2 linked regions of the Struthio camelus genome follow. The protein of the gene in region 2 interacts with the protein of the main gene of each other region in a biochemical or structural test. Links are inferred from orthologs where the notes say so. Each region holds a gene or a part of one and is shown on either strand. Other genes may lie near its edges.

Region 1 (7,836 bases), on a different chromosome or scaffold from region 2:
TAGGCGCTGGCTCGCAGCCAAGAGAAACATTTTTTAGAGAATAAACTCGCTGAAGCCGTCTCAGCGCGGAGCCCTCAGCTCGGCAAAGATCGGCAGGCCTCGGGGGGACGGCACCGGTGGCTCCAGCCTCGCACGGTGCCCCCAGGGTTTGCGCTCCTTGCCGGGGCGCTGCAGGGACCCGCGCCCACCGGGACAGCCGCGGAGAGCCTGGCTCGTGCTACGGAGCAGGCCCCCAGGCAGCGCTCGGCGCCCGCGAGCAAAGCCTTCGCTCGAGACGCGGCCTCCCGTGCCAGCTGCCGGAGCGTCAGCAGCGCGGACGACAGACGCATTCCAAGGCTTATAAGGCAATTGCGCGGCCAGAGCCACCCGCTAGCGCCCGTGCAAGGGGACAGGGACCACACCTGGTCCAGGCGAGCGTCGCACCAGGGGCGGCTCGCGCGAAGAGCCTCGGCTGCGAGCAGCCAGCAGCACAAAGCCTCTCACACGCACACGTTCGGCGCTGGGGAAACGGGCCGGGGGCCACCGTCCCAGCGCCGGCAGCAGCGTGGGCTTCCTCCCCTCTCTGCCCGTTCCAGGGCCAGAGGGAGCTCGGACGCGGGCTGGAGCTGGAAGCCGAGCAGCAGGAGGGAGGACAGAAGGGCTGAGCCCGCTGCACGAGCCCAGACCCCAGGAGGCCAGGCCCAGCGTCACAGTCCGGACCAGGAGGCCAGCCCCACGGCGCGGAGGCTAGAAGAGCGGCTCCCCTCCCCCAGCTGCCGGACAGGCTCCGGAAGAGGCCTCCCCTACCTCCCCCAGCAGCCAGAATGACTCTGCAGAGGCTTTGCAGTACTTCAAATTTCTGCTGCTCTTCTTGCCCGGAACACCCCCGGCACGCACGTCCCCTGCCAGACGAGGGCCGATAAGGCAACGGGGTGGTGCAGTAGAGGCTAAGCGGAGCGAGACCACAGCAGGACCCAGCACTCCAAGGGTCCCACCTCATCCACGTCCCCATACAGCTGCCGCCTCAGTCACCTGGTCCCAGCAGCCACAGTTTCCTACCCGCAGAGGTAGGAACAGGATGGGCGTTACCGAGGCTCAGCTTCTCTTACCCTGGAGATGGAGAGCGGCATGCTGAAATCCTTCCCTCCCTGCAGTCTGAACCCCCAGGGCGCGGGGCCATCCAGGATCACCTTGTAGGACTCCACATCGCCCATCTCTGCAAAGGAAGAGGGTGCGATCCCGGTGTTACGCTGCACGGGAACAACGCAGGGAGAGCAGCCGAGCGGGGCCCCAGCACCTGGCAGGATGGGGCAGGAGGAGACAGGTCACGCTTCCAGGACCGGCTCCACCCCGACTATCCCACACTGCAGTTAGAGACGCACCCCAAATCCATCAGCATCTCCTAGGGCTGAGGAGCCCAGGCTAATGCTGACTAGCACAAAAGAGCCAGACACAGCTGACTGCCACGCTCAGTGCACTCACGGGCTCTGCTCTCCCTGCCCCAAACCTGGGGCACGCTCTCCCTTGCAGTACGCACAACAGCGCCCTGGAAGCTCACGCTACTGAGAGCCAAAACTGTTTCAGACCACGGAGAAGCAACAGCGGGTGTGGAAGGATGGAGACCAGAGGCGTTTTCGCTGGGTGAATTAGCAGCGGCACAGTAGCTGCGCGATGCCAACCAAGCGGACTGGCAGCGCAGCCAGGCTCGTGCTGCAGCAGCTGGCCAAACAGATGCTACCTGGGAGGCGAGCCCATCTCTGCGCGCAGAGCCGGGGCTTCAGCGAGGAGGGAATCCCTGCCTCTCCCTGCGCGCCAGCCGGGACGGCGCTGACAGCTGTCAGCCGGCCAAGGCACGGGGGGCACACGGGCCGGCCCCAGCCTCCCAGCCGCATCTCAGCCAAGAGGAGCCCTCCCAGATCTTGAGGGGCCCCTTCGAGACCCTGCCTCCTGCCCCCGCAAGGAAGGGACAAACCCAGCGCCCCGAGGGCCGGGGACCTCGGGCTCCTAGCCGGGAGGCAGTGGAGGCGCAAGGGCCGGGGGCCGGCGAGCCCCCGCTCTCCCCAAGCCCGGGCGGGCTATATAAGGCTTGTAAGATGACACCAGCGTGCTCCCCGCTCGGGAAGGCTGGGTGAAGGCTGCGTGTCAGACATTCCCCAGCACCGAGCAGCCGCACAAACCGGGGCAAGGCGCGGTGTCCTTCGGGGCCGGGACCGTGGCGGTCTGCCCCAAGGCGGCCGGCAGCGCCCCACACGCCCAGGTCAGGGCTGGGGGGGCCCCAGCAGCCAGGGGTCTCCGGCAGCCCTGGGGCAGGGTGCTGGTGGGGGGCAGAGAAGTGATCTGGAGGGATGGGGTGGGCCCACACAGCCCCTCCGCGAGGGGTTACGGCCACGTCCCATGGGGCTGGCGCAAGGCACCTGGGTGGCCCTGGGGCACCCACTCCTGATGGGCAGCCAGGCTGGGCCCCCAGCCCTGCCCCACACAGGCCCCCCCCACTCCCTACCCCTGCCCCCCTACCCTGCCCTATACGGGCCCCCCTGCTCTCTACCCCTGCCCCACACGACCCCCCCCCCCCGTTCCCCAGCCCTGCCCCACACGGGCCCCTTGTCCAGACGGGGCCAGCCAGCCTCCCTGACCCCGACCCGGGGCCCCCCTCCCCGCCCCACACAGCCCCCTGCGCAGGCCGGACTGGCCCCCTTTCCCACAGCTCGGGCCCCCCCTCCAAACCCGCGGCACCCCGTCGGGGCGGGCCCCGAGCCCCAGCGCTGCCCCACACGGGCCCTGCCGGAGCACTCTGCCTGCCTTCCTCGCACACAGGCCCCTACCCGGCCCCATGCGGGCCCCCAGCCGGATGAGCCGCCCCCGCGCCCAGGCCCGGGCCCCCTGGCAGCCCCGGTCCCGCCCCGCGCTCACCTGCGGCCGGGCCGCGCCGGGCCGCCCCGGCGGAGCGGAGCGGGGCCGAACGGACCGAGCGGAGCGGAGCGGAGCGGAGCGGAGCGGAGCAGCCGGACGCGGGACTCGAACTCGGGGCACCGCCCCCGCCCGGCCCGGCCCGCCTTTAAGTACGGCCGGGGGTGGGGTGGGCGGTGCCGGCGGCCGGCTCGGCCAATCAGCTCGCCGACCGCCCGCCGCGCCGGGGCGCGCACGACGGCGCCCCCTGACGGCGAGATGCGGGCGCCGCAGGCGCAGCGCGGGCGCCCCCTCCCACCCGCGAGCAAGGACGGAGCCGGCTCGAGCGCAGCCTCTTTATTCACCGTATCGCCAAGGCCCGGCCGGCCCGGCTCACAGCCAGTCCCGCTGCCCGGCGGCAGGAGCCTCCCTGCTCAGCAGCCGGACGAGCTTGGCCTTGAGGTTGCCCTGCGGCTTGGGCCCGGGGCGCCCCGGGGGCTCCTCGTGGGCACAGCGCCCCGCCGGACCCCAGCGCTGCTCCGGGGGGCCGGGGGGCTGCGGGCCGCCCCACGCCGCCGCCACCGCCTCCCGGTTGTCGTAGATGGGGCCTGCCTCGCCGCTGTGGCCCTCGGGGGCCTGCCGGCACCCCAGCTCCCACTGCCCTTCCTCGTGCTCCTCCTCCTCCTCCTCTGTGCGCCCCAGCTGCGCCGCAAAGATGTTCTCATAGAGGTGCTCGGCGGCCGGCTTCCCCGCGGCCCAGGGCTCGCTGGGGCCAGGCTGCCCCAGCCCGAAGAGGGGCTGCTGGCCCCGGGCGATGGAGGCGTAGATGATGGGGCCGGTGCCATCGGGCTCCGAGGTTGGGAAGCGGAGGAGGCCCAGGGCAGGCTGGGAACTGGGCTGGGAGCTGGGCTGCACCCTCCCTGCGGCTGGCCCAGGCTGCGGTTCCTCAGAGGCGGGTCCCCGGGGCTGGGGCTCGGTGCCCGGGATGGGGATCCGGGTCTCCGGGGCATCCTTGTCCTGCTGCTGGCAGGCGATGGCGGTGGCCACGGCCCGGCAGAGCTCCGGGGCCCGCGGGGTGCTGAAGGTGAAGGTGCCCTCGCCAGAGTCGCTGCGGCGGCCGGCCTCGAAGGAGAAGACTGTCTGCGAGGTCGGAGGGCAGGGTGAGGGGCTGGCGCCCACCTCACCTGCCCTAGGGAAGTCAGGGAGCGGGGCACCACCTACCTGGTCCTGGCCAAACTTGCGGAGGAAGGAGTAGGGCCAGGTGAGCAGGGGCTGGCGGGACTGCGGGTCCTTCAGCGTCAGGCTCTGGGGGAGAGCTGCGAGCAGGTAGTGCCCGTGCAGGCCGCAGCGGGCGGCTGCGTCCGTCCTGAGCACCAGCACCAGGAACTCTGTCACTGCGGGAGCAGAACGGCACCGGGATCAGCCCTGCCACGCTGAGCTGCTGCCCGCCCCAGCCCCCTCCGCCACCCAGCCCATGGCACGTACGGTCCTGCCACGAGGAGTAGAGGGAGTTCTCCTCCATGTGGACGTCGGAGCCGGGCTGGGTCCTGGCGCTGCTCTGTGGCACCTCCTTTGCACCCTGAAACAGAGGGATGTGAGAGCGGCCCCCGCCCCGGGCACCCTCGTCCTGCAGCTCGGCCCTGGGGCTGCTCCGAACATGCCGCGGTGGCACAAGGCGCGGGCAGAGATGGGGCAGCGCGAGGGCCTGCAAGCAGGGCTGTAGCACCTCTCCCTGCTGCACACGTGCAGTGGAAACTCTCCCAGTAGGGGCCTGCCTTCAAAACCACCCCCGACTAGTCCCCCCAAGGGGACTCATCCCTTCTCCTGCTGCATCCTGGCCCCATGCCCCAGCAACACCCTCCACCCCAAGGTGATGGCCAGGGACCAAGGGAGGGAGCCCCCCTGGCTCACCCAAACCAGGAGCAGGGTGAGGGGGGTCCCAGCTGTGCAGCCTGCCCACCCCACTGCTCGTGGCCCCGCTCACCCCAAAGACGCGGTACCTGGAAAGCCAGCTGGCAGAGCTGAGAGATCCACTCGTCCCGCTGCTCGGCCGCCAGCACATAGCTCTTCTCCGTGGTGTTGAGGTAGAAGGCAGCGGTGGCTTTGGGGCAGCTGTCAGTGCTGACGGGCCCCACGGAGACGCAGTCCGAGAGGCGGATCACCCGGCGGGCGCACCTCCGCAGGGAGGACTTCTCCAGCACCGTGCCGTCATCCCGCACATCAAACTTCTCCATCCGGGCCACGCCGGACGGGCTGGCAGCAAAGAGCTGCGCTCGCATCTTCCTCCAGAACCTCTGGGGTGCAGGAAGGGCACAGACAAGGGGAACAAAAGGTCAGCAAACAACTGCCTGCTGCATCTTCACCGGCACTGCCCTCCTTATCGCGTCAGCCAGCACAGTAAGGGCTCCAGCCCATGCTTGGCAGGACAGGGCACGCCGGGCACACGCAATGCCCTTCCCGCACCCCTGGCGGGGCTGGGCACACTGCGCGTGCTGGGGGAGGACACAGCAAGCAGGGCCTTCTCAGGTCCCCCAGCACCCGCAGGCCAGGCCAGCCCCAAAGCCAGGGCTGCCAGCCGCCAGGTCAGCGAGGTGGCCAGCCTGGCCCTCCAGCGAGGTCGGCTCCGCTCGCCTGGTGAGTCACGCTCGCCCTCGGCTGGGAAGGGAACCCAGGCATCCTGCCCTCTGCTCCCTGCTGCAAGTGCTAGCCTGCTGCTGCTGCAGCTGAGCCTCTTGAGCTGTTTTCAGGACAGACCATGATGCAAATTAAAGCCATTTTGAGCTGCTTGGGCTCCTGCAGGCAGCTCACACCTACCAAGTACAGTTAGTCCCTGCAGCTAGCAACCCGCTTCCTCCCAGGGGACGCTCTGTGGTACCAGCACCTTCCCAGCCTGTCATGGGATAGAGAGGGCGCTTCCCCCCCACACACCTCAAGAGCACAACATGGCCTCCACCCCAGTGAACCTACGCGCAGCCGAGCACCCAAAATACCCGCCACCGTAAGCCCACCTGCGTCCTACATGGCAGGGCATCGGCCTCTGCTCACATAGGGGTCTGCCCACTTCAGCTCTAGGACTCAGCTCTCGCAGGCAGGGAGACTAGAGCAGCTCCGTGAGAGTATCGAAGGCACAGCCGTGGCCCAGCACGTCCACTGAGCACACGGAGGGTTGACTGCACCCCACGGGCTCTAGGAAGGGGCAGAGCCACCCCGCTGAAGCAGCGGGGATGCTGCTGGGCACGGTCAGCGAAGTGGTGGGACCTGCCTTGTAAGCACCATCTCACAGCTCCTACCAGGACTCCAGTAACATAACCCATAACGTGCCCAGAGGGTTTTGGCACTCAGTGCCCATCCCCAAGGGCTCAGCACACCGAGCAGCTGGGCAGCGAGTCCAGCCCTGCGGCTGGCTTTTCCCACAGCACTGCCCCCCACGGTCAGGCTCTTCGAAGGCTTGGCGCACAGCAACTTCCTATGTGTGGTCCCACCACCCCCAGGAGCTGCAAGGGGCTCCCACCCCTGCTGCCCCACTTGCACACAAGCACCGGAGCTATGCGTCATTAACACACGTTTATTGTTTCATCGCGAATCGCGTGGCGATCAGGCAAGGGGACAGACCCTGTACATGGGGGTCAGTGTGAGCAGAGGCCTGCTCGGGGGAGTCCCCTCAGCTGTGGGGAGAGCCACCTTGCCCCACTCCGTTACAGCTACAGAGGCCAGGGCCCTCTCTGCCCTACCCAAGGGGTCTGGCTCTGTCGTTCCCCTGCCGAAGCTGTGGAGGACCCAGTATTCCCCATCCGGTCAGGGCCTCCCCCAGGGTCTAGCATCAAGGCAGAACAGGGCAAGACAGAGCTCTACAACCCACCCCAAACCCACCCTCCACCTTTTACCTTTCCAAATTTGCTGTGTTGCACATAGAGGATCCCATCCTTCACAGGTCTCTCCATGGGCACAGCACTGCCCTGGCAGCCAGTGCAAGGATCTGGGACTCAGACCATCAGCAGCAGAGAAGTGTGACTGCTGCAGCTGAAGCAACTAAATGGGGCAGACTTCCTTTTCTCAGCGACTTCCCCTTTTTGCTGTGTGGGATGAGGGGCAGGCTGGGCCACAGGAGGTGTCCATCCTCCCTCCCCCTCACAGGAGGGCAGTGGGGCAGAACACATGCAGCAAGAGCAAAGGAAGCTCCTAGGGGCCTGCCTGACATGAGCACAGCATGCTCTGCCCTGCCCTGGCTGCATCAGGGCACAGTTGCGGGTAACAGAAACTGCCCTGGTCAGAGCACAGCAGAAAGGAGGCAGCCACCAGCTGAGAGTGCACAACACGAGCTGCGGGGGAACAGTCCCAGAGGAATCCAGGGGCTTTGGAGGAGAGCAATGCCAGACCCCAGCCATGCCACCACGGGGAAGCTGAGTAGGGGCTGCAGACAGCTGGCCACAGAGCAGCCACCCCACAGGCACCACTACCCGCTTGCCCAATGCTTCACATCAACATGCCGCTGATGTAATGGGCTGTTGCAGCACAGCTCCTCACATTTCCTCCTAGAGCAGGAGCTTCAGCAGGCTGAGCGGGCAACAGTCCCCAGTGCCCAAATGCTTTGAAAAGGAGCCACAGCGGTGCAGGACAGGCCTGCAGTCCGGGCTGGTCTGGGCTTTGGGAAATGAGGGCAGCTGCAGGGGGGACAGCGCTGTTTGCCCAAAGAGAGTCAAAGCTCGGCCCTCTCTCCCAGCCTCGGTGGAGGCAGCACTGGGCAGCAGCATCCCCAGGCTAGAAGTCCATGGAGCTGTGAGCCAGGTAGTCTTTGCGGCCGATGTTGCTGACTTGCTTCGTCTGCATCGCCTCCAGCTTGGGGCAGTCAGTGATGCGATGGCCCAGGCCACCGCAGAAGGCACAGCCCCGTTCATCTGCAATGGGAGGAGCAAGGTCAGGCAGAGCCACACCACACCAGGCAGGAGGGTGGCCCCCACCCCAGGAGCAGAG
Region 2 (7,365 bases):
GCAAGCTAAAAAGAGCAAGGGCAGAGCTGTCTGTCTTTTTTTCCAGCTTACCTGTGCATGCTGGAGAGGCCTGCCAGTGGTGGATAGTATTATGCAGAGCTCTGAGAGCAAGTGGATAGCTTAAACTGCAACCAAATGGTGCCCCTAAAGCCCAGAACATGATGGAGAAAACAACGTGACCCCCTCTTTAAGAACATGGGTAGGAGTATGCATCCTCCATAGCCACCAGCCTTGTGGAGAGCTGCACCATGAGCAAGGCAGAGGCAGCATGGCTTCGACTGATGCTGTTGTACAAACGCGGCTGGAGAACTGGGAACGGTGTCTGTCTGAACACAGCTGCCTGCTCGGCTGTATGTACCTGCCTGATGCCTTGTGTGTTTGGGAGGCTGCTGCCTCAGCAGGCGCGTGAGCTACCTGCAGGCATCTGCTTGCCCCTTTAATGAGTGGTGCTCTCCTCTAATCACCGCTGGCCCCGGGCACAGGTGGCAGTTGCCGCTTTGGCATTCAGCTCCAAAGGGTTGGAGACACCGACTTCTCGCATCACCCTCCGTCTCCCTGGCGTGACCCTCCTTCCCTTGCTGCTGCAGCCAGCTCACAGGCGCGGGGCGAAGGATTAGTCGGGGAGCTGTTCACGGGGTGGCTGCTTCCCAAAGGCAGATTAAGAGTAGCTTGACCCTGGCTTCTTGGCAAAGCCCCTGGCACCTTCCTCCTCCTCGGGTGTCCACACCTCGCTGCTGGGCGAAGCCGAGGCTGCAGCACAGGAGGGGACGGCGGGGGGTCTCCTGCTGCCTGGGCTCATCCTCTGCTTAGAGATGCACCAATAAGTAGTTTTTCTAATTAAAGCACCCTGCATCTGAACCCCAGAGAAGCCGGATGATGGCTGCTCCATCCCTGGCTCTCTAGAGCTCTACAAAGGCGGTGCTGGTGCCTGTGCTGGCTCCTTTGTCAATAAAGGACACCGTAAAGGGGGTAGGGGCTCTTCCAAAGTACCTTTATTCCGAATTATTCATTTTCTGCTGCCACAGGAACACTCAGCAACCTCCATGGGACCATGTAAATTAGTTATGGGGGCTCTGACTTTGTAAGACTTGATCGAAGGGGGTTTCGGTGGCAGTTCCCAGGGATGCAAAGCAGGGAGCTGGGGCCTGCGCTGCCCCTGACTCACCCGGCCTGCCAGGAGCCGGCTTGGGGAGTTACGCAAGCCGAAAACTGATGGCTGGAGAAAAGAAAGAAGAAATAGGAGAAACAGCAAGTTCAGCTCCCTGGAGCGTGGGGTGGGAGAAGCAGCAGCGCCGGAGTTGGCCAGGAGGCAGGAGTCTGTGCCCGGGCGAAGGAGAGTCCCAGCAGCGGCCGAGACAGGGGCTGTGCCGGGAACCGCGTAACTCGGGGCTGCGGGAGCCAGCTCTGCCGGCAGGGGATGGGACCGAGCCCTGGTTAGCGTGGCTGGGCAGGGGGAAAGGTCGGGGAGGTGGATTTGGGGGAAGAACGTGAACGGCGGAAAGCATTGCTTGAGTCTCCAGTTTTTTTGCTGCACCTGATGCTTGGCCGTAGGTTGTCGGAGGCTTTCTCTTCTCCGTCGCCTGTATTCTGCATTTTCTTCCTGGCATTTACGGAGTGGGGTTTCTTCCTCCTCTTTGCCTCGGAGGAACCGCTAGTGAGAGTGGTTCCCAGCTGATCTGTCGCTAGGCTCAGTTAAGATGCTGCAGACTTTGAGCAAACAGACTGTAACAGCTACAGCTCGGTCCCTCCGAGTGATGATCTGGAGCTGAAAACAAACAGCGAGGAAAGTGTGCCGCGGGGAGCCGAGACGCTGGGGACCAGCTCAGCGGCAGGCTGGAAATCGAGCAGCAGGGCTGTCGGGGCTAGCCATAAACATCTTTGCCGTGCTCCTCCGCCCTGAGCACGCTCGAAAAGTGAGAGCCCGACGCGCTCTGTCACTGCAGGGGACCCGCCTGGTCCTGAGCTGAGCTCTCAGTTAGCCAACGCCGGCACGCAGCAAGAGCAAGGTCCTGGGCGAGGACCGAAGGGCCTCACGCCTTCCATTAAACAGCACTGGGAAAGGATGGGCAGAGCAAAGGAATAAAAGCTGTGGTTTAAAACTGAAGATCCTCTCTGCTCAGCACAACAGCGGTACTTTCGAAATCCCGAATTAAGGCGTGCGCTGGTCGGACTAACGAACTTAGCCGCTAACCCTCCGCGTCCCTTTCTGCTTCCAGAGCCTCCCTGCGCGCGCGCCCCTTGCTTCGGGTCTGGCCGAGAGGCGGGGAGGGTGAGAAGCCGCGGAGCCAGCCCTGCCGCTGTCCCCTGGCAGTAGCCAGCGACGAGCTCGGCGCGAACGCGGTCAGGAGCGACGCCGAGCCCGGCACGCCCCGTCCTCGTCCCCGCTTCCAGTTCCATAAATCAGCCCGATCGGGGAACTAGGTCATCTCTTTGCCTGCAGGAAAAATAGCTCACGTTTGCTCTACAGTAGTATTTGCTACTTCTGTCTGGCTACGCAGGCCCGCATTGAGCCCGGCGTCTGCTCCGCGGGGACGGCAGCACGTGTCTAAGCAAACAGGACAACCTAGTCTCAGCCAGCTGGGTGTAAAAGAAGGCTGGCCCGGAGGTTTGGCGCAGGGAGGTTGGGGGATGCGCCGTGCCTCGGCGGACAGGGAGGATTTAGGGATCCTTTCAGGATTTTTCTTTCAGTAGCGATTTTGTTTTTGGCTGGCAGCAGAGGTGAGCGGGCTTGTTCAGCGTACACGCATCCTGGCATTGCAAATAGAAGTTGGTGTATGTTTTTTTTTTTTTAAATTTGTTAGTTCGTAAATCAATAGGCTGGGGACGGGTCACGGCAGAGGCGCAAGGACCAGGCCCCAGCGTTAACTGCTGGCCGACCAGGCATTTGGGGAAGCAGTGAGCAACGAGGTGCTCGGGGGGGTTGCATGGGGCGCGGGGGCCACGGCCAGGCTGCTCCCACGGCATCGTCTCCGGCCAGTGGCTGCGTCTGCGGGGGACCGCGGGCAGCCGGGTGGCCCCCCGGGCACATCCCGGCCTTGTGGGCGCGCGGGGACGAGCACCTGAGCCCGCTGGGGGCTGAGCTGCCCTCACCCCCAGACCCACGCACCAGGCTCTCGGGTTGGCACCGCTCTGCTTGAAACCTGGCCCCGTGTCCCCCCCCCCCCCAAAACATCACCCCTCTGCTGCACCCTGCGCCCTGCCACACTGCCCCGGCCCCCACCCTCCCTACTCCACCCACCATTTCCTCCCCTCCACCCTGCCCTGAGCCGCCCACACGCTCCATTCACCCCTCATCCCACCCCAGCCACCCTCCATTCACCCCTCATCCCACCCCAGCCACCCTCCATTCACCTCCATCCCACCCCCACGCACCCTCCATTCACCGCCATCCCACCCCAGCCACCCTCCATTCACCCCTCATCCCACCCCAGACACCCTCCATTCACCCCCCATCCCACCCCAGACACCCTCCATTCACCCCCCATCCCACCCCAGCCACCCTCCATTCACCCCCATCCCACCCCAGCCACCCTCCATTCACCCTTCATCCCACCCCAGCCACCCTCCATTCACCCCTCATCCCACCCCAGCCACCCTCCATTCACCCCCATCCCACCCCAGCCACCCTCCATTCACCCCCATCCCACCCCCACGCACCCTCCATTCACCCCCATCCCACCCCAGCCACCTTCCATTCACCCCTCATCCCATTCCAGCCACCCTCCATTCACCCCCATCCCACCCCAGCCACCCTCCATTCACCCCCATCCCACCCCAGCCACCCTCCATTCACCCCCCATCCCACCCCCACGCACCCTCCATTCACCCCTCATCCCACCCCAGCCACCCTCCATTCACCCCCCATCCCACCCCCACGCACCCTCCATTCACCCCTCATCCCACCCCAGCCACCCTCCATTCACCCCCATCCCACCCCCACGCACCCTCCATTCACCCCCCCCACGCACCCTCCATCCCACCCCCAGACACCTTCCATGCACCCCCACCCCCCTCCATGCACCCTCCAAGGGACCCCCGTGCCACCCCCACGCACCCCCTGTATCACTCCTACCCACCCCCTCTGCCGCCCCATCCACCCTCCGGGCCCCCATGTCACCCCCATTGTTACCCCCGCCCCGCCTCGCCCCCCCGCCGGGCCCCGCCGTCGCCCCCTCTCCGCCCCGCCGCCAGGGGGCGCTGCCGCTCTCCTCCCCCCCGCCCCCCTCCAGGCCGACCTCACCTCCATGGCGGCGGCGCGCGGCCGCGCCGCGCTGCGTGCTGACGTGCGCCGCCCCCTCTCCCGCGGGCGGCGGGGCGGGGGCGGCGCCAGCGCGCTCTCCGCGGCCGGGCCGGGCCGGGCGGCGGGGCTGAGGCGGGCGGCGGCGGCGGCGGCAGCAGGCCCGCATGGGGGTGCCCGGGGCCGGCGGCTGAGACCGGCTCCCCCAGCCCGCGCCCGCGATGTCGAACCCCGGCACCCGCCGGAACGGCTCCAGCATCAAGATCCGCCTCACAGGTAACGGCGCCGCCGCCGCCGCGCGGCCCTCCCGCCGCTTCCCCCCCGCACCGCCGCCTCGCCCGCCCCGGCCTGGCCGCCTCGGCGCCGGCGGCCGCCGCCCCCTCCGGGCCGCGGCCTGGCGGCAGGGCCGGGCGCCGCGAGGGGGCGAGGCCGGCCGGGCTGCCGCCGCTACCGGCGCGAACTTTCCCCGGGCCGCCCCCCCCCCCCCCATATATAATATATATATATACACATATATCCCTAATATATCTTGGCCCCCTGGCCCGCGCCGTTGCCCCCCGGCGGGGTGTCAGGTGCGCAGCCCGGCGCTGCGGGGGCCCCCGGGGGGGGGGGGGGCTCCGGGCCCGGCTCCCCCCCCCCCCCCAACCGCCGCCCGCCAGGACCGACCTCGGCCTCCTGCTCCGCCGCCGAGTTTCCCTTGGGCCGGGCAGGCGCTCTGTGCTGGGAGAAAATGTGGGTTTAGTCGCGGGCCAGGGCTGCCTCCTTCCTCCCCGGCCGCCCCTTCCCCCCTTTTCTCCTTCAGCAGATCGCTCATCCGGCTCCCGAAGTTGCTTCGCTGAGCGATAAGGGGAAGGGGGGAAGGAGCGATAAACTGCGCACCCGCGTGTGGATAAGCCAATTCTGTGTTGCACCCTCCAAGAGCTGGATTAAATCTTCTGGAAGCTGCCCCGGTTGATACTGAGGCTGCTTCCTTAATGGAAAAAGGGCAGAGTTTCTGAGGGCTACGGTGTGAATTATTGATAAATAAAGCCCAGTCCAGGCCTCCAAGGCAACAGGTGCAAACTCGGAGAGCTCTTTCAGCGAACCGCCGTGCTGCTCTGGGTCAGTAACGCTGATCTGCACGGAGTTGTTTCCCTGGGTGCGTTAGGCATCGTCAAATAATGGGGAAGCAGCACTCCTGCAGTTACACACAAGATTAACTTGCTTCTGGCATATAATGCAATCAGTCAGAAATAACTCCTAAAAAAAAAAAGAATCCTGCTTTTTTAATCATTTTTGTTTGGTTTTACACTGCTCTGGCTTTAAGAGACTAAAGTTTCTGGGAAAAAACATAAATAGGACAATCCTTTTCTTGGATGTGAAAAGGTTAAAAAAGGATTTAGGGTGTATGTTTGATCTGAAATTACAGTTTTGCACTGATGCGTGTTAAATGTCAAAGCAGTCCTTAATATAACTTATTTTATGCAACCCAATAAATAAAAATGTTGCAAGAGAAGTAGCTTCTGCCATGCTTACAGCCCTCCTCAACGTGAGGGTATTCTTTAAATAGCAGAAAAAAGCTGTTGGGTTTGATTTTTAAAGGAGGAGTTCTGCATCAAAATGCTGTTTTACTTCTAGCTTGCACTGTTCTCTCTTATTTGAGAACGTTTTGGACATTTTCTGGAATAGAGTGAAGGTTTGGTTTGTTAAATAACTGGATAGATTTTCTTGTTCATATATTCCCCCCTCCCCAAAGAAAAGCTGTACTGAAGAAACCTCCAGCTTGCTCAATCATATCTTCTGTCCTTATGAGCATTCAACCTGGGTGGTGTGCCAAAAATTGCTGTATTTAATCAAAAAATAAATTGCTTTGGGAGAGGTGTTGCTTTGGGAGAGGTGTAGCTTTGGAATCGTTAAGAAACGTGTTCCTGGCTTCTCTGGCAACTAGCTTCTCGACTTACCTGTTTCAAATAGCTGTAGCTAGCATGACTTTTTTTTTTTTTTTTTTTTTTTGGAATCTGTTTTGGTATTGGGAGATTTGAGCTGAATTAAATCAAGACACAGCGCATCTTCTGTTATGGTTTACTACCCGCATTGTGTTTCCTGCGATTATAGCCATTTCTGTTTTCCACTCCTGCAAGGAACTGTGTAAATGCCACTTAGTTTGAAGATGCCTGTGAGGGTTACTTTGTAAACGAGAAGTCGACAGTGATAGCATCTTCCGTACTTTTTGAAAGACATACTTTTTTCTTGCATGTTAGGAAGGTGCTTGTATTAGCACTGTGCTGGGATTATTTTATTTATGTGAATATATATATAAAAAAGTTCTGGCTCCTCTGATGTTTATCAGAAGTGATCTTCTAGCCTTATGTGGAATGGTGTCAGTCCTATCCTGATACAAATCATAATGAAGGAAAATGGCAAATAATGCATCCTGTTTAAAAAAAAAAAAAAAAAAAGAGAAAATGCGGTAATAGCAAGTAAGTTGGATGACAGATTAAAGTGACTTTATCTTCTGTGCGTCTCAAACATGGTAATCTCTCTTCGTATCTGAGTTTCCCCAAAAGCCTGTGCAAAGTTCCTTGTATTTCCGATGGAGCTTTCACCACTGCTAGAGATGTCTAGAATTGTTCCAAGAGACAAGGCCGTAAATATCTTTGGCTCTTACAAGTTAAGGTAAACTGAGCTATCACCAGGGTAGTGTAACAGTGAATGACTTATTTAAAAAAAGATGGAAATAATAAAAAGATATTTTAAGTTCTGCAGTGTACGTGCTTGAAAAGTCCACTGAGTGTGTTCTGGGTTGGGGAGGAATGCAATCCAAAGACCAAGGGACCTTTGCTGAGTGCCTCCCCACCTCCTTTTTCCTTTTTTTTTTTTTTTTCTTTCCTCCCTTTTAAGTGATGTGCTTTTGTCTAAAACCTTTTGTTTGCTGCTGCCGTCACTGTCCCCTGGGGAAGTTCCAAAGGGTTTATCAGCTCCAAGGCTTGCATCCTTCTTGCTCATGCTGTTATATCACCCAGAAGTACGTGTGAAAACTGCAGTCTCATTGTGCTAGATACCAGAGATGCTCCTGTTCCAGGTAGCTTGCAGATTAGGTGGCACATAGAGTTGGAAAGAGAGTGAAGAGGTGGGCAAAACATGTAACA

The links.
Region 1: the proteins of SMURF1 (region 2) and PDLIM7 are reported together in a solved structure, tested with the Homo sapiens proteins (2 studies listed by BioGRID, with this or other methods). The link is inferred for Struthio camelus from reciprocal best matches to the Homo sapiens genes SMURF1 and PDLIM7.

What each region holds. Positions count from the first base shown.
Region 1 is NC_090954.1:9,774,609-9,782,444, forward strand, and holds the start of PDLIM7 (PDZ and LIM domain protein 7), read right to left. Parts: upstream 3,008-7,836; 5' UTR 2,890-3,007; intron 1,277-2,889; exon of another isoform or gene 1,196-1,276; 5' UTR 1,194-1,195; coding exon 1,089-1,193; intron 1-1,088. Other genes in the region: DOK3 (docking protein 3), read right to left, coding at 3,259-4,005, 4,087-4,259, 4,351-4,444, 4,866-5,159, 6,750-6,806; probable ATP-dependent RNA helicase DDX41, read right to left, coding at 7,624-7,760. UniProt on the Homo sapiens protein: May function as a scaffold on which the coordinated assembly of proteins can occur. May play a role as an adapter that, via its PDZ domain, localizes LIM-binding proteins to actin filaments of both skeletal muscle and nonmuscle tissues.
Region 2 is NC_090956.1:4,661,701-4,669,065, forward strand, and holds the start of SMURF1 (E3 ubiquitin-protein ligase SMURF1), read left to right. Parts: upstream 1-4,361; 5' UTR 4,362-4,458; coding exon 4,459-4,513; intron 4,514-4,903; exon of another isoform or gene 4,904-4,957; intron 4,958-5,116; exon of another isoform or gene 5,117-5,175; intron 5,176-7,365. UniProt on the Homo sapiens protein: E3 ubiquitin-protein ligase that acts as a negative regulator of BMP signaling pathway. Mediates ubiquitination and degradation of SMAD1 and SMAD5, 2 receptor-regulated SMADs specific for the BMP pathway.